5 linked regions of the Macaca fascicularis genome follow. The protein of the gene in region 3 purifies or fractionates together with the protein of the main gene of each other region. This does not show direct contact. Links are inferred from orthologs where the notes say so. Each region holds a gene or a part of one and is shown on either strand. Other genes may lie near its edges. The genes, in order: SMARCA1, HMGXB4, BACC1, SMARCA5 and BPTF.

Region 1 (3,513 bases), on a different chromosome or scaffold from region 3:
CTTAGCATCACCAACAGTGTGACAACATGACATAATGTGCCTTCTGATGGGATGCAATAAAAAATACATAACATCACTTCCATAGCACTCTTGCCAAATATGTTGAACCTAAATCTTACAATGAGTAATGAGGCAAATCCACAATGTGGGACATTCTACAAGACAGCTAGCCTGGACACCTTTAAAAAGTCATGATCACGAAAACCAAAAAGTTGTGGATTAAAAGAGATTAAAGAGACCCAACAACGAAATGCAATGTGTGAAACTTGTAGGATCATCAATTTTAAAAAAACAGCTATAAAGAGCATTTTGGGGACCACTGGAAAATCTTACACATGGACTGTATACTAAATGACATTACTGAATCAATGTTTTCAGGTGGGACTGTGGTTATGTAAGAAAATGTCATTATTCTCAGGAGATATATGCTTAAGTATTTAGAGGTGAACACTCACATTGTCAGTAATTTTCAAATGGTTCAGAAATATAGTTAAGTATACTTACAAATATAAACTATAGATATGCATTTCAGAATATAGAATATAGATGCCCCCATATTTTTAATACAAAGTATAGATTCTACAGGTATGTATAGGTGCTGCATATGTATACATATATATACAGAGAGAGAGAAAGAGAGAGCACCAATGTGCCAAAATGTTAATTGAAGAATCTAGGTGAAGGATATATGACGTCTGAAATTTTTCAAAATATAAAGTTGGAGGAAATCGGTAAGAAAGGAATACATACCATGGCAGTCCTAGACTTGATAAACCAGTCAAATCTAAACTGGGGAGCATTTCGTACACACTGTCTTAATTCTTCATATACATTTTCTCTATCAAAGCCCATTTTGTGTAACATACAAATCAAGAATCTATCTTCTTCCTCAGTATAGTTCTTTCCTTTGCTGGTTCCATATTGAATGCGCAACTGATGAAATGGAGCCTTGTATCTTGCAATCTGTGTATTTAAACAAAATAGTGCTTTTAATTGAACGTGCAGTAAGAAGTCAAAGCTGACCACCATATCAATTAAGACGATCTAATAATAATTTGACATAAAATATAGTACTTTGGCATCCAGGGCTTTCTTGATACTGATCCTTCGTTGAATTCTTGCTTCTCCACGTTCAATTTGAGCCATAATTTTCTCAATGTCTTGTAATTCATTGCAACGTTCCCAAAATACAGCTGAAAAACAGAGTTATTTCTTTACAATCCTATTATTTAAGCAAATAAATCCAAGGAATTGTAGAATAAGGAATTAATGGGAAATAATGCAGTAAGCTTGTACTTCTTAAAATTAAGATTCACATTCATCTTATATATATAATATGTTCAATTATTAAATACTACTAACTTTTCACTTAAAAATAAGACCTCAACAAGGTTTTAGGCTAGCAATGTTCCCTTCATGAAATAGTATGGAATCTTATGATCCATCCCAAATGACTAGGATTTCAAAAGATGGTGCAGACACTGATGTAAGATAGGCTTTTTACTCAAACATGATAGAAAAGGGACCAAACACATAAAGTGACACAGGAGAGAGCAATATATAAACTGTGAATATAGCTTCCTAGCATGCAAAAACAATTATGAGCCGGGCGCAGTGGCTCACACCGTAATCCCAGCACTTTGGGAGGCCGAGGTGGGCAGATTGCCTGAGGTTGGGAGTTTGAGACCAGCCTGGTCAACCTGGTGAAACCTCGTCTCTACTAAAAATATGAAAATTAGCTGCGCATGGTGGTGCGCGCCTGTAATTCCAGCTACTCGGGAAGCTGAAGCGGGAGAATTGCTTGAACCCGGAAAGTGGAGGCTGCAGTGAGCCAAGATCACACCATTGCACTCCAGCCTGGGTGACTGAGTGACACTCTGTCTCAAAAACAAACAAATAAACAAAAAAAACAAGCTATTATGAACAGATTGTTCAAATTTTTTCTATGGAGCAGCCATTTCTCCTGAAATTGTCATTTGCTTTTGGAATCACTCAGTAATCATCTTACGGTATTTCCAATGACCAATAGTGTGTTTTTAAACTTACTTGGAATACCCTTTTCTCATTATTAAAAAAAAAAAAAAAAAAAAAAAAAAAAAAAAAAAAAACCTCATTGGGATTTTAATTGCATACACACTGAAAAATACTTCAAGTCACTCAACCAGATTTTATAGATGAGCCAAATAATCTGGCTGTATTAATATGTCACATCTTATGACTTCAATGAAAGGCCTTTTAATGACATACTCCACATCCTCAAGCTTTTCATTTTTAGAGCCTATCAAGAAAGGTATGTGAGCACTCTGATTTTTATAAGCACCTGTGTTCATTTATTCATTCACTCAATCATTCAACAAATATTTAAACAACTGCTATGTACAAGATACTGTATATTCAAGGGTGGCCAATTGTATACATTTCTTCTCTTACTGTAACCAACTACAACAAACTCATTGCAATGTCCCCACCCTGTGACATGGCCCCCAACCTGGCAGGCAGCAATTAAATAGTCCTGAGCTAGTCATGCCACCTGGCCTGGTGTCAAATTTGAAAGAATGTCTGACAGGACAATCTTTTTAAATCACATTTTTTCTTGCAAATTCACACACACTGATGTTATCTCCCTGTCTATCTTCTGAAGAAAATTCTTCTTAAAAATCTCTCTGCACATACCCTTTTACATTCTTTTCATTCAACTCTTGATGCTAAAATTTCTCTCTTCAATCTATTTTTTCCCCTAAGCCTCCAAATGCCCTAAATTTATGTGCTAAATGTTCAGAGTAATAGTAATGTCATGCTGGTATCAAGGAAAAGGAAGTTCATAAACTTAATGTTATATGTAATAAAAACTCAATACAACTGACCTCTAAAGTCCCCCAGAAGACCCTTTTAGATTTCCAGAAGAAAAAAAAATCTCTCTACTTAAATCTGGATTTCTTCAAGCACTAGCATGCTAGATAAATTAAAAGCTGTTCCTAGCCATTATTAATCTTTAGTATATTTATTGTTACTGTAATATTTCTTTCCTACTATTGCAAAAACAGAATTTCAGTGGTTAGGTTAAATAGATTTGGGGCAGGGGCTATCATAGAAACTTAAACCTACTTTGTAAACTTAAACCTACTTTGCCATTGTTTCAATGACAAAAAATGCTCCAGATTCTAAACATCTTGTTTCAAATTATAATTTTAAGAGCTGAACCTATTTGGAAGTTAGAAAAGTCCTATATACTACATATAGAAAACTTGCTAGACATATTTACCTATTTTTAATAAGATTTCTGGATAGCTAAACACGAGGAGGTTTCTGGAGGGTGGCATGCCCAGGGAGGGCACTGAAGCGCTGCGCCCCTTGGCCCATACCTTGCCCTACACGCTTCATCTGTATCCTTTGCAATATCCTTTATAATAAACCAGTAAGTGTAAAAAAAATCCATATGCTTCAGCAGCTACACTGATTCTGGTCAAGCTCAACAACACAGGTGAGTAAGAGAGGGAGACGATTCGAGGACCA
Region 2 (3,513 bases), on a different chromosome or scaffold from region 3:
AGTCAGCAACATCTGGATCCCTTTCCCCTACCCCGACTCCAAGAACCAGCGATGTGTTTATCCCACCTGTTGCCCATTCCCATCCTCACCTCCATAGTAGTAATCATCAGAGGAGTGCTTCCTCTTCTTCTTGTGTGTGTCCGTCCCCAAGAAGTAAAGTTCGCTATCCTATAATTAAAGAAGAAGAATTGACCAATAATAAGATGATGAGGCAAATGCAGTTTGGAACCACTCTTGTCTTTGATGATTTCTGACTTTGGGAAACAAAGCACAAGAAATAATAAAAACAGATGCACACAACATTTTATTTTTCTTTTCTAAAGTTATTAAAAAACACTTCCTTCTTCAAATATTAGGAAATATGGTAAGAAGTAGTTTAAGACTTTCCTGGTGCAGTGGTTCAGGCCTGTAATCCTAGCACTTTGGGAGGCTGAGGCAGGTGGATCATTTGAGGTCAGGAGTTTGAGACCTGCCTGGCCAACATGGTGAAACCCTGTCTCTAATAAAATACAAAAATTGGCCGGGCTTGGTGGCAGGAACCTGTTAATCCCAGCGACTCGGGAGGCTGAGGCAAGAGAATCGCTTGAACCCGGAAGGTGGAGGTTGCAGTGAGCAGAGATCACGCCACTGCACTCCAGCCTGGGCCACAAGAGCAAAAAAACCCTCTGCATCAGAAAAAAAAAAAAAAAAAAAAAGGTAGTTTAAGACTTTCCTAATTTAAATTTTTAGGACTTACCTTCAACTTCTTCTTGGAAGAATTCCTGACCTGAGCAGCAATTTCTTCCTCTTCCCTTAAAAAATCTTTGTAAGAACGTTTTTTCTCTCGTTGGCTTCGGCCAGCTGCAAGTCCTATGTCCTCAAAGGTATGATCACCATCAAAACAATCTGAGAAGCACAGGTTTATTTGGGAAAGGAAATGAGAAAGTCAAGTAAGTAACGACCAAATCACCATGCAGGTAATGCAACAGTTCCTCTATTTCCAAATTAAAACAATGTTTCAATCAAGTCCACTGAAATACAGGGCTAGACCCAGGGGAACAGAATATTTCTTGATGACCTGGCTGCAAATACAAGAATCAAACCTGAAGAAACAATGTTTCCACGCTATGCAAAGGCCCCATGTGCGACCTCAGATATGATTTCTTAGTTGTGATTTGGTAGGTGGACACAGACTTGCAGACGAAAGGCTGAAAAGAATAAGGATTCATGATTCATGTGCTGTGCTGCTCTCTGTGGGAGTCCAGGATGTGATTCCTATCCCCAGACTCCTGCACACTGGAGCTGGCAAGGACCAAGAGTGCTGCAGGGGATCACCCCAATAAACTAAGAGACTCATATTTCAGACTCTCGTGTTGGAACCCCTGTCCTGGTTTTCGTTTCCATGGGCCCAGTCTGGGGATGGCGTGGAGGCTGAGTGTCATAACAGTGCTCTAGACCATCACTTGGGAGTCCAGGCTGTGGTGCCCAGTCCTGGTCTCTATATCCATGGGCTGCAAGGATTGAAGAGGATACCCCCTTTGGAATGCTTCTCAGATTATGGGGTCATACCTTCTTTCTTCACGGAGTCATCATAAGCCATGGTGGTCCTGCAGGGCCTTTGAGAATGTGTCACTGTGTCCAGGCTCCTTCCCGTCTACAGGACCAGGTCTGAGAAACAAAGAAGGAAAACCCTCCTGTAATGCGAAATCAGAGGAGAAGCAACCTTCCAGATGGAAATGTGTAGTGATCCAAGGGCCGACTGGAAGGGCAGCAAGAAATAAAGGAGTGTCTTGTCACCTCCTCATTCTCTTTGTAAATATAGTGGGGTTGATACTGCAGGAAGTACACTAGGCTTAATTAGATTTCAGTCATGAATTAAAGTTGTCATTTGGGGAAGTATATAAAATACCTCCAATACAAAAAATATTTTCAAAATTAATGAGAATTTCTGAAATGCCAACAGGACTGACAACACTGAGACAGGGTAGAAACCAACATTAAGTTAGAGGGATAGGTTCAATCTTGGTTATAAAATACACAGGTAAAGCAAGATGCAGAGAAGACAGATCACACCAAACATTTGAAGACCATAAAATCCTACCAACTGGATTGGTGAACTGGTAACATCTATTGCATTGTAATTTAAACAGAAATGATTAACTGTATAGGAATATTAAATATCTTTAGAGCATAATTTCTTTTGCATTTTGGGGGGGGGTTACATGAATTTGTTCAAATTTATGTAATTGTAAAAGCAGGTACACTCCTTACATCAGTTGACCATGTGACAGCTGTCACCACCACCAAGGCTTTCTTAAAGGCTAGGTGAAAATGGAGATATTTATCATTTGTCCACTGGTCATAAAACTTTTATGATTAATAAGATCTTCACTAATAAGAATTGCTATAATTTAAATGTTCTAGATATTGTATTGAGTTTTATTGAATTTTTACAATCTTTTTTTGGCATTTGAGTTTATATGTCCATTTTGACTTTGACGATAACAATGCTATAAAATGCACTGTAAGTTTTTTTTTTTTTTTTTCTTTTTTTTTGAGACAGTCTTGCTCTGTTGCCCAGGCTGGAGTGCAGTGGCAGTTTCGGCACACTGCAACTTCTGCCTCCCAGGTTCAAGTGATTCTCCTGCCTCAGCCTCCCCAGTAGCTGGGATTACAAGCACCTGCCACCACGCCCAGCTAATTTATGTATTTTTAGTAGAGATGGGGGTTTCACCATCTTGGCCAGGCTGGTCTTGAACTCTTGACCTCATGATCCACCCGCCTCAGCCTCCCAAAGTGCTGGGATTACAGGTGTGAGCCATCGTGCCCAGCCAAGGTAAAGTTCTTTAAAAGTTTTAAGAACAAGTAATGTCACAAGTCCTTCAGGAAATTTAAAATTACATATTAAATATTTTGGCAATGTTCTCATCCAGTTAAGTCAGATGCTTACAAAGTTAATCTAATTGATCATTTATTTAAATTTAATTTGACCTTCATTATTATAAGGGGACTTAGAAATACTGAAGGACACTTAAATGACACATTACTAATTCCTTCAGGCAACTGTGGACAATACTGAAGCATGGAACTTTTGTGAAAGAAAAGATGAATTTGATTAACAAGGGAAGCTTTCATAAGTTACATTAAAAAGACTTATTTGCACAAATCAGATAAAATACAATGTACAGGTAGGCCTGAATAGGAAAATGAAGCATTACGAAGAACGATTTATAAGAAAAGAAACATAAAGCATTTCTTCACTTCTCTGAGAAGTGAAATAAAGAATGGATTTGGTCAAAGTAACAGAAGCTAGAGTAATGAAACTACATTAACTGGATTGTTTTAAAGATAAACTGGAGAACTGCCTGTTCGAAGGGCCTTTTCACAGGAAACGAAGGGGACATAAGGTCAGGCCTCAGATAAAAATGTGAGGAGGCAAGATACATAATGTAGCCAGTTTTTCATGTTCCAGCATTTAAGGATGAAAGTTTCTCAGTGGAAACTACTGTCCTCCCCTTTCCACCCAAGTGGTGC
Region 3 (4,310 bases):
GGTAGCTGGGCCTTGTTTTCCCAGTAATCCACCCACCGCCACTTCAAGAAGAAATGATACGAAGAAGTGCCGATTCTCCCTCCCCTCTTGCGCACTGTCCCGTGATGATGACGCCTCCAGGGAGGACGATAATCTGGGTTCCTGGGAGAGAAGGCTTGGTCACTATTCCTACCCTTGCCTCGGCCACTTGTCTCAATGTCACCACCTCACGCCCTGTTCCAGGTGGCTGAGTCCGAATCCAGTAACCACCACCTCGTTTTGGTTCATCTTAGGCACGGGTGTGGTAGCAACATTAGAAATGGGAGGGGTTTACGAAGTGAACTTGAGGTCAGGTGCCTGAATTCAACAACCTACCCATTCCCCTTTTCCAGATAATGCTCGGAATATTTTTCAATGTCCATTCCGCTGTGTTGATTGAGGACGTTCCCTTCACGGAGAAAGATTTTGAGTAAGTATTCGGGTGGGGGAGGCGGGCTGGGATCAGGTGGGAGGTGGCGAGGTCAGATTACGTCTGGGAGGTCGGGTGCTTGGGGCCCCTAGGTTAGGGAACAGGGAGAGGACAGCTGCTTTCTTGAGAATGTGGTTAGGAGCTAGGGAGTCAGACCTCAGCGGCCATTCCAAACCCACCACTTTAGGTGTGGCCTCTTTACGTATTTTACTTTTCTGTGCCTCTCAGTCCACCTCTGCAAAATGGCTGCTATGACAGATCTCACCCCATAGGATTGTCAAGAAGATTGAATAAAGTAATACACGTAACAGCGCCTAGACAGGTGCTGGGCACATACTGCTCAGCAAACGTTGGCTGCTATTAACGTTTGACACCTTTGCTTCATTCCCACCCCCAGGAATGGCCCCCAGAACATATACAACCTTTACGAGCAAGTCAGCTACAACTGTTTCATCGCCGCGGGCCTTTACCTCCTCCTCGGAGGCTTCTCTTTCTGCCAAGTTCGGCTCAATAAGCGCAAGGAATACATGGTGCGCTAGGGCCCGGGGGCCCTTCCCCGCTCCAGCCCCTCCTCTATTTAAAGACTCCCTGCACCGCGTCACCCGGGTCGCGTCCCACCCTTGCCGGCACCCTCTGCGGGACTGAGTTTCCCGGGCGAGAGACTGAATCTCTTCTTCTCCCATCTCTGGCATCCGGCCCCCGTGGAGAGGGCTGAGGCTGGGGGGCTGTTCCGTCTCTCCACCCTTCGCTGTGTCCCGTATCTCAATAAAGAGAATCTGCTCTCTTATGCCCTGTGTCTGTGCTTCAGTGGGGGCGAGCACGGGGCTGAGGCTGGAGGTCGGCCTCTGCCTGGGGAGTCCCGACCCCTGAGCGGAAGTGGAGTGAAGTGGTGCGGAAGTGAGGCGAAGGCTTCCCCCTTGGCCTGGGCGCGCCAAGCTGTCGAAGCGACTGCATCTGATGGGGCGGGGAGCCACAGGGTTGAGCCTATCCGCTGCGGGAAGGGCGGGACTTCCTGCGCGGGGGCCTGAGCCGCTCCGTCTCCCTGCTCTCCGTGGTCCCGGCTCGCGTGTAGCGGCGGCGGCGGCGTCTCCGTGAGGAGGCGCGCGGGGCCATGACGTCAGCGTCCACAAAGGTTCGACCTCCCCCGCGGACAGCGCTCCCTGGCGGCCACGGGAGGGCGGGCCCCCCACTTGGCTCGCGGCTCTTCCGCCCCGGGCGGGGGGCGGGCGGGAGCCGAGCCTGGGGTGGGGCTAGGGGCTCCAGGCGGGACGGGGAGGGCGGGCGCCGGCCCCCCGTGACGCTGCCCCGCCCCCAGGTCGGAGAGATCTTCTCGGCGGCCGGCGCCGCCTTCACGAAGCTCGGGGAGCTGACGATGCAGCTGCATCCTGTGGCCGACTCTTCCCCTGCGGGGTACGTGAGCCCGGACTGGGACGTGGACGCTGAGAGCGGGCGCTTGGACTCGGTCACAGACACGGACCCTCTCTAGCACAGGGACAGACGTTAGTTTCCCTTTGTGCCTGGCACAGCACAGAGTAGGTGTTAATAAATGATCGTTGGATGAGGGAATGAATGACAGATAAAAATACAGACAGGCCTATGGCCCAGACTCCTATTTCACAGTTCTCCCTGCTGCGAACGGGTCGACCACAAACCACCGCCACTCCCAACCACCCCAGTTCATGGAATTCCCCCAGACGGCTGCAGGCTGTTGGTGGGTCTGTTTGAAAAGCCCTTCTTGGCGAGTTGGTTTCAGTGTGCTGTGTACAGCAGCCGTTTAACGTTCATGGTGGAAAGGGGTGTCTAAGGTGGAGGTGGTTGTGATTTCTTGTGATTGGGGTCCTCCAGGTTCCCGCAGGGCCCTCAAGAGCTTCCCGCCCGTCCCCCGCCCCTATGGAGGACCTCTTTATGCATCCGTGGAAGGGGTCCCAGAAGTCGGAAGGAGGCGGCTGGTTGACTGTGGGATGCATAGCCTGTGGGCTGGCTCCACACCCCCCCTCCCATTTTTGCTATCCCCCCTCTCCCCTTCTGACAGTGCGAAGTGGACGGAGACGGAAATAGAGATGCTGAGGGCTGCTGTGAAGCGATTTGGGGACGATCTTAATCACATCAGCTGTGTCATCAAGGAACGGACAGTGTGAGGGAGGGTGGCTGCCAGAAAAGGGCGGGTGGGCAGCCTTCTTCCTCCTTACCCAAGGTTCCATCGTCCTCAGAACTCCTTTCCAGCTCAGCTGCTTCCCTACTTTGTCACTAGTTTTTTAGAATGCCCTTGAGAACTGAAAGAACAGAATTGTCACAGTTGGTCAGAAGTTCCTAAAATGCTGTGGTAGTCCTTCCAAGAATGTGAATTTAGGTTGCCTGAGATGCTCAGTTATTGTATTTGATGATGGAAGTCCCCTGGTTATTTATATAAATTTTGGGGGACTCCACTGCAGTGTTTCCAGGGATATGGTGATCCTGAACTAGTTGATCAGTAAATCCCAATCCACCTGTAAATCACCAAGCCTTACCCGATGTCTCTCCCGGAAGAGAATGAGGAGATGGGCCTTTCCCACTACTCATCTCAGGGACTCCACTCTCCACATTCCACCCACCCTGAGTGAGTGTAAAACTTTGGGAAAGTGAGAACCCTCCCAATGGGCTGGGGCCCCGACCTGGATTCTTTTCAAGGGACTCCCAGAACCCCTTCACCTCCCCTCCCTTCTTCTGTTAGTCTCTCTGATGACTCCTTTCCTAACCTCTTCTCTCTTTTCTTCAGGGCTCAGATAAAGGCCACTGTGAAACGCAAGGTATATGAAGATTCTGGCATCCCCCTTCCAGCTGAGTCACCCAAGAAAGGGCCCAAGAAGGTGGCATCTGGTGTCTTATCACCTCCTCCAGCTGCCCCTCCTCCCAGCAGCTCCAGTGTCCCCGAGGCCGGGGGTCCCCCCATAAAGAAACAGAAGGCCGGTGAGGGCTGTGGACTTGCTACCTAGGGGTTAAAAGTCCATCTGAGGTTCAGTGAGAGAATTGGGCCTGGGTCAAAGAAGGGTCAAGCTCTCTTCCTGTCCCTGTGGAGGTTCCCAGAGAGGGGCAGAGGGGAGGGGAGGCACGAAGCTTTGGGAAGCTCGGGGCTGGGGGAGAGGCCGTCAGGGGAACCTAGAACCTAGCTTATGCCCCCTTCCCAGATGTGACACTCAGTGCTCTGAACGACTCCGACGCCAACAGTGACCTGGTGGATATTGAAGGGCTAGGAGAAACTCCTCCAGCTAAGAAACTCAACTTCGACCAGGGTAGGAGTCCTCCTCCTCCCACACAGCTGACAGGGTGGGGGAGAAAGGGCTCACCTGGATGGCAGGGCACGGTCTCCGCAGGGGCCCCTCCCTCGTACAGGGGTTTCGGAAGAGAAGGTGCTCTCATACACAGCGCAGGGCATTGGGTCAGTACGTAGCAGGGTGTTTCAGGGAGCTGGGAGTGGCCTCGGAAGCACACTGGGGGCTCGCTCCATCTCGGCCCATTTTACTTCCTGTTCCAGACAGCCTGACCCTGGATTCTGGCCTTCTCATGACCTCTGCTGATCCTCCTCTCCTCTCCTGCTGAGCCTTCCACCTCTGACCTCTCACTGTTCACGCTGGACCTGTGGATCTCCTGGGACTCCGAGCAAGGCCTGCACGAGAGAGGGCTGAAAGGCTGCTGGGGCTGCCACCTCGCTGTGCCCGCATAAGCATCTGCCCCCGACCCCCTTGACCTTCATCTGATGGACATTTTTATACAGAAAACAATAAAGATTTCCCTCTCAGCTTCGTGCTGTCTGCTTAACATTATTAGCAGGAGAGGGCTGTTCCCTCTTCTCTCCTCGGCCCGTGGGGGCTCAGCCCCTCCTCGG
Region 4 (4,303 bases), on a different chromosome or scaffold from region 3:
AAAAATAAAATGTGCTTTCCAACGGTAGTCATTATTTCTTCCACAGTTTAAAAAAAAAAAACCAAAAAACCTGACTTCCAGGCATTTTGACATCATCATTATTGGCATATCAATCTAGTCAATAAAGATGAGGATGAACACAGAAGAGTTCCACATTGCCAAAAGGATAACTAAAAAACAAGTTGCTCCATTGACCTGTTAGTATCATGCAAAAAGAAAAAAAGTAACTGAATACATAGGCAGGCTATTTCTGGGAAAATCAGCTTTGCCACACACACACACACACACACACACACACACACACACACACACAAAATTCATGAATGCTGAGTTTATTCTGTGATTTTAGAAAAACACCTTAGATCATACTTCCAAACAAGAAAAAGTCATTTATAAAATATTCATTTTCCAAGTGCAAAACAGATTAAGTTGTGACATATATTAGGCATGTGTGCTCAAACTTAGTTTTGATCATGAATTGCAGTGATTCTGAACAGGAAACTGACGGTGCATTTTAAGACAAAAAAATCACACTGTCAACAACAACAACAAAATGAGTCAGTGATAAGATGGATAAAAAAAAAATTCCTAATACTTCTATACTAGGAAGGTAAAAATAACTATGTTATTCAATAAATTGAACTGCCAAATACGTTTTTTTGGTAAGAACACGGCAGAGTAAGATGGGTGGGAAAAGGCTCACTTTTAAAGGCAGACCTGAGTTTTATCACAGGTTCTACCTAGCAGAACTCAAATTCCCCATCTGGCAAATGAAAATATCACTAATTTAATACGGTAGTGACATCATCTATACTCACATTTAAACTTAAAATCAATTTTCATTTAAAATAACAACTTCAAGTCAAAAAAGTTGACTTGCTTTTGGCTTAAAATTACTGTATTCAGATATTAACAAGACCTCTGGTGAAAATTTATTTTTCCAAAGTTTGGATGGCAGACCCCCCTTTGAGAGGCTGAGGATAACTATGAACAGATTTTTGTCCAGAACTGCACATTTACACACAATTGCTTTGTGTCAAACCCCTTAAGCCTTGGAACCGAATTCAAGTTAAAGAGCCCTGGTAACCCAAGAGAACCATTTCCTTAAGGGGAAAAAAGGCAACACTGAATATATTTTAATTTGAAAGAAATCTTATCCTAATCACTCAAAACTACAGGAACCATCAGGAGTTCCTATGTCACTAAACCTACCCTCACACTAAAAGTTCTTTAAAAGATTACTAACATTAATGTTACCTAACCCCAGCTACCCAAATAAAACTACTGTGCCAAATGCCTCAATGGTAAACTACGCTCCCATTTCCCCACTGTACAACGATTGTGCGTCAAGACTCATCTTCGGAGCAGTATTACCTTCATTCTAAGGATAGGAAAATCCCAGAAATCTTTGGGCTCCGACTTACAAAATATTTCAAAACAGGTCGAAGGCCAAGAATAACAATTGGAAGGAGCAATTACTTTTTCCCCAGATATTGCAAAGCCTGGAGGCATATCCAATTTACCCGCCTGGCAGCTTCCCCATCTTTCCAGCCCCCTAAGTACCGTCAGCATCCTCTGGACAACCCAAACCCAGAAGTCTCGGGAGCCGAGTGGTACTAATTTTTTTTTTTTTTTAAGGCGAGACGCCAAAAAGAGAAAAAGTGCCGGACTGAGAGCCAATCAACTGCGCCTGGTTCTCTAATTCATTCCTACACTTACTCATCCCCCCTAAATTCGATGGGGGATCCGAGACAGCTGCTGCTGCCTTGGTTGCTTCCCTTCCAGTGGAACAGTGCCTGGGAGGGGCTTCCTCTCCCTTCACAGAAGCAGCTGCGCCCCGCTTATCCCCACTGCGCACTCGGCCATCCAGCTCTCGCCATTGTTTCTGCCCAGAACAGATACCGCCCCCGCAAAGACCGGGAAGAAGAAAAAGAGGCCCAAGTCCTCGGACGCGCTGCTTTTAAATGCCTCCTTCACCCTGCCCGTGCATCCCGCTCCTAAGGGGTCATCTCCTCGCCCTTCCCCGAAGTTTGGTGGAAACTAAAAACCACATTCAGAGGTAGGAGAGGGAATTATGGGAGTCTAGTGCGAAAAAAAGATGGGTCCCCCTGGGCCACGGTAACCAAGAACATCTGTTCATTGAGAGCATTCAAAGATTTGTCAAGATTCACGAAAGAGACAAATAATTTCAATGTGAGGAGCCGGAAATCCATTTTGCTTGGCTCCAATAGGTTAAGAACAAGGGAGCAAGGGTGAGAGCATCATTTCGTATCCACAGGGTGTGAAGCTGAGTCTGGTGCAGAGAGAGAAGCCCGGCTCTGCGTCCGATCGCCACGATCCGGCGAGGGAGCCAGCTCCTCCTCCCCGCTGCGCCCGCTCCCCACGCCGCAAGCTGCCCTCACCTCCATCTCGGCGTCTGCGGGACCCGCGCTGGCCGCAGACGCAACCGCCTGCGCAGCGACGCCCTCGGGGCCGCCTTTGTTGCTGCTGTTGCTCCCGCCGCTGGCGGTCGAGGCTGCGGGCTTGGAAGGCGCGCTCTCGGGAGGCGGGGGTGGCGGAGGCTCGGCCGCGGACGACATGATGTTCCGTCTGCGTCACCCGCTGCTGCCAGAGGCCGAGTCCGGCGGGGATGGACGGGGAGGCCTAGGCCCGGGTGGCTACGTCGCAATAAACTGGTGGAGGAGCGAGACTCCCACCCGAGCGCTCCCCCGCGCCGCGCCTCCGCGACGGGCCTGAGCCGGGCCCAGGAGCTACACACTCCCAGACGTTCTGCTCTTCCGCGGGGCTCTAGGTTCCACCGGCGCTTACCTCACGGCGGGAATCACGTCGACGAGGATGGGCGGGGCCAGACGGGTCACTGAGGTCAAGGAAGGCGGGCTGATTTAGAGAAGGGCGGAGGGTTGGGGGAAGGGAAAAGGAAAACGAAACAGAGACTGAGGCTGGGAAAACGCTTCGCCGCCTCCTCCTCCTCTTCCTCTGGCAGATATCGTCTATCTCGCCAGCATCCAGGACGACTACCTACGCCACCGACTTTCAACCCTCGCGAGATTCCTTATTGGTTCACTGACTGGGTACTGAGTGCGCATGCTCATACTGTCCTCCTTACCCTTGGCCCCTCCTCCTCACCCTTGGCCCCTCCTCCTCCAGACCTCTAGCGGGCTCGGGAGAGAAGAGTAGGCGGGACCTCGAGGGAGCGCTCGGAGGCGTAGGTTTGTGCGTCTGCTGTCTGGCAGGACGCGAGCTCAGTGTTTTAGGCTTTCGTAACGGCTCACGGTTCTCGTTGTGTCTTCCGGGCCTGGCTGGGATCGGCGGCACTACTGGAAAACTTGCCTGAGTTTTGCGCTGCCCATTCAAACTTGGAAGTCTTGTGTCTGACCCCAAAACTTCTGCCGTATCCGCTTAGAGGCGTGACGCCACAGCCTTGACGACGTTATGGTTACCCCAAGTGACGTCTCACTGTTTTGTTAAAAAAAAAAAAAAAAAGTCCGTTAGTTTTTTCTTTTTTGGTTTTTGTTTTGTTTTTTTGCCTTCTCATGTTAGCTGCGTCAGTTATTTCTAAATATCCTCTTTAAGCACAGAGTTAAATGCTATTTCTTCTGAATTTATATGCTAAAGGTAAGCAAATAACATGCACACTACCATGTAAGTGAGAAACACAAATAGTATGTGGGGAAGATAGGTGGTATGATGTAATCTTTTCCTCAAGCATCAAACATTAAAATTAAAACGCACTTTCTCAAGTGTTCAGCACTAATTTTGTATACTGCCTTAGGCAGCCTTCAATGTAGCTTAAGGGCCTTGTGCATTCATCTCCTGCAAAATTTAAATACATTGTAGTCTATTTGATAACAAATCTGCATACTACAGTAGATTATCTGCCCAGCACAGGGTCTTATTTATCTTTTTTTATTCGTCATATCCAGTATTCTATAAATGTTTGTTGAATAAAGGAGGCACATTTTTCAAGAGTTGAGGTTTGAGCTAACTGGTTATGTTGAATTCCAAACAAAAGGGATCTCCTTTGAATATATAGCCTGCAAATTTTTTAACTAATGGAATAATTCTTTAATTGACATCTGGAAAAATGTCCCCACTCCACTAGAAATGCTAGTTCTTAGACTGTAAGGAAATGTCTAAGGATATGTGCAAAGATAAATACCTACAATGATGTTCATCATACTCTTCATATGTAACTGCAAAAAGCTAACAGCAGTAGGCTGAATCCAGTATTAAAAGTTACGTCTTTAAAACTATCGTACACCCAGAAAATGAACTATTAACCTTTAACAACCGTTAATGTAGA
Region 5 (3,513 bases), about 67 Mb from region 3:
AAACTAGCTGGGTGAGGTGGCGGGCGCCTGTAGTCCCAGCTACTCGGGAGGCTGAGGCAGGAGAATGGCGGGAACCCGGAAGGCGGAGCTTGCAGTGAGCTGAGATCACGCCACTGCACTCCAGCCTGGGTGACAGAGCGAGACTCCGTCTCAAAAAAAAAAAAAAAAAAAAAATTTTTTTTGAGACAGAGTCTCGCCCTGTCGCCCAGGCTAGAGTGCAGTGGTGCACTCTAGGCTCACTGCAAGCTCCGCCTCCCGGGTTCAAGCAATTCTCCTGCCGCAGCCTCCCGAGTAGCTGGGACTACAGGCACCTGCTACCATGCCCGGCTTACTTTTTTGAATTTTTTTGTTTTTTTTTTTGAGACAAGAGTTTCGCTCTTGTTGCCCACGTTATAATGCAACGGTGCAATCTCAGCTCACCGCAACCTCCGCCTCCCGGGTTCAAGCGATTCTCCTGCCTCAGCCTCCTGAGTAGCTGGGATTACAGGCCACACCCAGCTAATTTTTTGTATTTTCAGTAGAGACAGGGTTTCTCCATGTTGGTCAGGCTGGTCTCAAACTCCTGACCACAGGTGAACCGCCTACCTCAGCCTCCCAAAGTGCTGGGATTACAGGATTGAGCCACTGTGCCCAGCCTTTTTTTGTATTTTTAGTAGAGATGGGGTTTCACCATGTTGGTCAGGATGGTCTTGAACTCCTGACCTCAAATGATCCGCTTGCCTCGGCCTCCCAAAGTGCTGGGATTTACAGGTGGGGTCACCATGCCCAGCCTTGAATTATAAATTGTAATCACTATTTTCTTGGGGTTTTGATGTAATAATCATATCGCACATGAAAACAACGTTGTCTTCTTTCCTCAATTTTTTGTCTTTTTGCCTTTTTCTTGGCTTAACACATTTGCCAGAACTTCCAGAAATGCTAAATAATAATGTCGATTGTTGGCATCATTGAGGATTCTGACTTTAACTGGAAGATCTCTAATGTTTCACAGTTAGGTAACATTATTAGTCTGGTTAATATTTTCTTACTATTTCTCACCTTTTTTTGGGGGGCGGGGGACAGTCTCGCTCTATCGCCCAAGCTGGAGGGCAATGGCATGATTTTGAATCACTGCAGCCTTCACCTGAGCTCAAGTGATCTGCCCACCTTGGCCTCCCAAAGTGCTGGGATTACAGGCATGAGCTGCTGTGCCTGGCCTATTTCTCACCTGCTTTTTTTTTTTTTTTTTTTTTTGCACCCCCAGGCTGGAGTGCAGTGGCTGGATCTCAGCTCACTGCAAGCTCCGCCTCCCGGGTTTACGCCATTCTCCTGCCTCAGCCTCCCGAGTAGCTGGGACCACAGGCGCCCGCCACCTCGCCCGGCTAGTTTTTTGTATTTTTTAGTAGAAACGGGGTTTCACTGTGTTAGCCAGGATGGTCTCGATCTCCTGACCTCGTGATCCGCCCGTCTCGGCCTCCCAAAGTGCTGGGATTACAGGCTTGAGCCACCGCGCCCGGCCTTCTCACCTTCTTAAAAAGTTTAGGACATGTTATGATTTTTTTTTTTTTTTTTTTGAGACGGCGTCTCGTTCTGTTGCCCAGGTTGGAGGGCAGTGGCGCAATCTTGGCTCACTGCAACCTCTACCTTCCTGGTTCAAGCAATTCTCTCTGCCTCAGACTCCTGACTAGCTGGGATTACAGGCACCAGCCACCACGCCCGGCTAATTTTTGTTTTTAGTAGAGACGGAGTTTCACCATCTTAGCCAGGCTGGTCTTGAACTGACCTCAGGTGATCCACCTGCCTTGGCCACCCAAAGTGCTGGGATTACAGGCATGAGCCACTGCGCCCGGCCTTGAAATGTCTGATAGCCTACTTCTCTTCTAAAAAGCTGTGTAATTATGTATAAGTTATATATATATGTGCATAAATAGATGTCTACTTTTTTTTTTTGAGACGAAGTCTCACTCTATTGTCCAGGCTGGAGTGCAGTGGCACAATCTCAGCTCACTGCAACCTCCACCTCCTGGGTTCAAACTATTCTCCTGCCTCAGCATCTCAAGTAGCTGGGATTACAGGTGCCTGCCACCATGCCCAGCTAATTTTTGTATTTTTAGTAGAGACAGGGTTTCACCACATTGGTCTGGCTAGTCTCAAACTCCTGACCTTGTGATCCGCCCGTCTCAGCTTCCCAAAGTGCTGGGATTACAGGTGTAAGCCACTATACCCGGCCCTACTTTTTTTTTTTTTTTTTTTTTTTTGAGACAGAGTCTCACTCTGTTCCCCAGGCTGGAGTGCAGTGGTGTGATCAAGGTTCACTGCAACCTCTGCCTTCTGGGTTCAAGTGATCATCCTACATTAGCCTCCCAAGTAGCTGGGACCATAGGTGTACGCCATCATGCTTGGTTAATTTTGTGTTTTTTGTAGAGACAGGGTTTCACCATGTTGCCTAGGCTGATCTTGAACTCCTGGGCTCAAACAATCTGTCTACTTTGGCTTCCCAAAGTGTTGGGATTACAGGTATGAGCCACCACAGCCAGTCTACTTTCATTTTTTAATAAATTCCTCTCGAAGGCAGGTTAGCAATACCTACAGAATCATTTACAAGTCAAAGAAGAAATTTTTCTTTTTTCTTTGTTTATGAGACAGGGTTTTGCTCTGTTGCCCAGGCTGCAGTGCAGTGGTGCCATCAGGGCTGACTGCAGCTTCAACCTGCCAGGCTCAAGTGATCCTCCTGCCTCAGCCTCCTGAGAAGCTGGGACCACAGCTGTGTGCCACCACATCTGGCTAACTTTTTCATGTTTTGTAGAGACGAGGGCTTGCCATGTTGGCCAGGCTGGTCTCGAACTTCTGGGCTCAAGTGATCTGCCTGTCTTGGCCTCCCCAAGTACTGGGAGTATAGGAGCGAGCCACCTCATCCTGGTGGAATTTGTCTTATTTAATGGACTCATGTTATTTTTCATTCTTTCAACGTTACTTCATCGTCTCCGTACCTTTCTCATGAAGCTCTGCTCCTAATTAACTTTTGGCCAGACTATGTCATAGACTTGAAAAGCTGTTCTCAGAGTTCTACAACATTTCAATCAACAAGCTCACCTCTCAGAGTCGCTAGTATGGAGAACACAATATAACTATACATTTAGTTATAAAAGCTCTGACTTGTTTCTTAAGACACACACGTCGCACTGCTTTTTACTCTACGTACACAGAGGCAAATTCCAGAAAACATACTGAAATTTGAAGCTTTATTAAAAAGGCAAGGGAAAAAAGCAGAACCTTAGATGCTAAACACTGGACACAGAAGAAAAGGGCATGCCCTCTTACCTGCACTTCAATTTGAAGATCCTTGTCCAGGAGTGCTCTCTTCTTCAGGATCTCGGCTCGGAGCTGCTCTTTGTGCTTGAAGAGCAGAGCTGACAGCTTAGTGGCATTCTGCTTGCTACGTTTCTGCTCCACACTCTCTTCACGCTTCCGTTTTTTTGCTGCCTGTTTTTCTTCTTTATCTATCTTATCCAAAATATACTTCATCACCTGGTT

What was found.
Region 1: the proteins of BACC1 (region 3) and SMARCA1 purify together in Homo sapiens (affinity purification with mass spectrometry; 4 studies listed by BioGRID and IntAct, with this or other methods). This does not show direct contact. The link is inferred for Macaca fascicularis from reciprocal best matches to the Homo sapiens genes BACC1 and SMARCA1.
Region 2: the proteins of BACC1 (region 3) and HMGXB4 purify together in Homo sapiens (affinity purification with mass spectrometry; 4 studies listed by BioGRID and IntAct, with this or other methods). This does not show direct contact. The link is inferred for Macaca fascicularis from reciprocal best matches to the Homo sapiens genes BACC1 and HMGXB4.
Region 4: the proteins of BACC1 (region 3) and SMARCA5 purify together in Homo sapiens (affinity purification with mass spectrometry; 5 studies listed by BioGRID and IntAct, with this or other methods). This does not show direct contact. The link is inferred for Macaca fascicularis from reciprocal best matches to the Homo sapiens genes BACC1 and SMARCA5.
Region 5: the proteins of BACC1 (region 3) and BPTF purify together in Homo sapiens (affinity purification with mass spectrometry; 5 studies listed by BioGRID and IntAct, with this or other methods). This does not show direct contact. The link is inferred for Macaca fascicularis from reciprocal best matches to the Homo sapiens genes BACC1 and BPTF.

The regions. Positions count from the first base shown.
Region 1 is NC_088395.1:135,737,524-135,741,036, forward strand, and holds part of SMARCA1 (probable global transcription activator SNF2L1), read right to left. Parts: intron 1,194-3,513; coding exon 1,075-1,193; intron 964-1,074; coding exon 751-963; intron 1-750.
Region 2 is NC_088384.1:16,408,459-16,411,971, forward strand, and holds part of HMGXB4 (HMG domain-containing protein 4), read right to left. Parts: intron 1,648-3,513; 5' UTR 1,580-1,647; coding exon 1,549-1,579; intron 886-1,548; coding exon 737-885; intron 169-736; coding exon 90-168; intron 1-89. UniProt on the Homo sapiens protein: Negatively regulates Wnt/beta-catenin signaling during development.
Region 3 is NC_088390.1:7,050,979-7,055,288, forward strand, and holds BACC1 (BPTF-associated chromatin complex component 1), read left to right. Parts: upstream 1-1,499; 5' UTR 1,500-1,559; coding exon 1,560-1,580; intron 1,581-1,763; coding exon 1,764-1,858; exon of another isoform or gene 1,859-1,980; intron 1,981-2,480; coding exon 2,481-2,582; exon of another isoform or gene 2,583-2,721; intron 2,722-3,203; coding exon 3,204-3,394; intron 3,395-3,612; coding exon 3,613-3,717; intron 3,718-3,771; exon of another isoform or gene 3,772-3,959; coding exon 3,960-4,024; 3' UTR 4,025-4,223; downstream 4,224-4,310. Other genes in the region: RNASEK (ribonuclease kappa), read left to right, coding at 372-448, 846-987. UniProt on the Homo sapiens protein: Component of chromatin complexes such as the MLL1/MLL and NURF complexes.
Region 4 is NC_088379.1:148,622,850-148,627,152, reverse strand, and holds the start of SMARCA5 (SWI/SNF-related matrix-associated actin-dependent regulator of chromatin subfamily A member 5), read right to left. Parts: upstream 2,803-4,303; 5' UTR 2,580-2,802; coding exon 2,403-2,579; intron 1-2,402. UniProt on the Homo sapiens protein: ATPase that possesses intrinsic ATP-dependent nucleosome-remodeling activity.
Region 5 is NC_088390.1:74,382,095-74,385,607, reverse strand, and holds part of BPTF (nucleosome-remodeling factor subunit BPTF), read right to left. Parts: coding exon 3,301-3,513; intron 1-3,300. UniProt on the Homo sapiens protein: Regulatory subunit of the ATP-dependent NURF-1 and NURF-5 ISWI chromatin remodeling complexes, which form ordered nucleosome arrays on chromatin and facilitate access to DNA during DNA-templated processes such as DNA replication, transcription, and repair.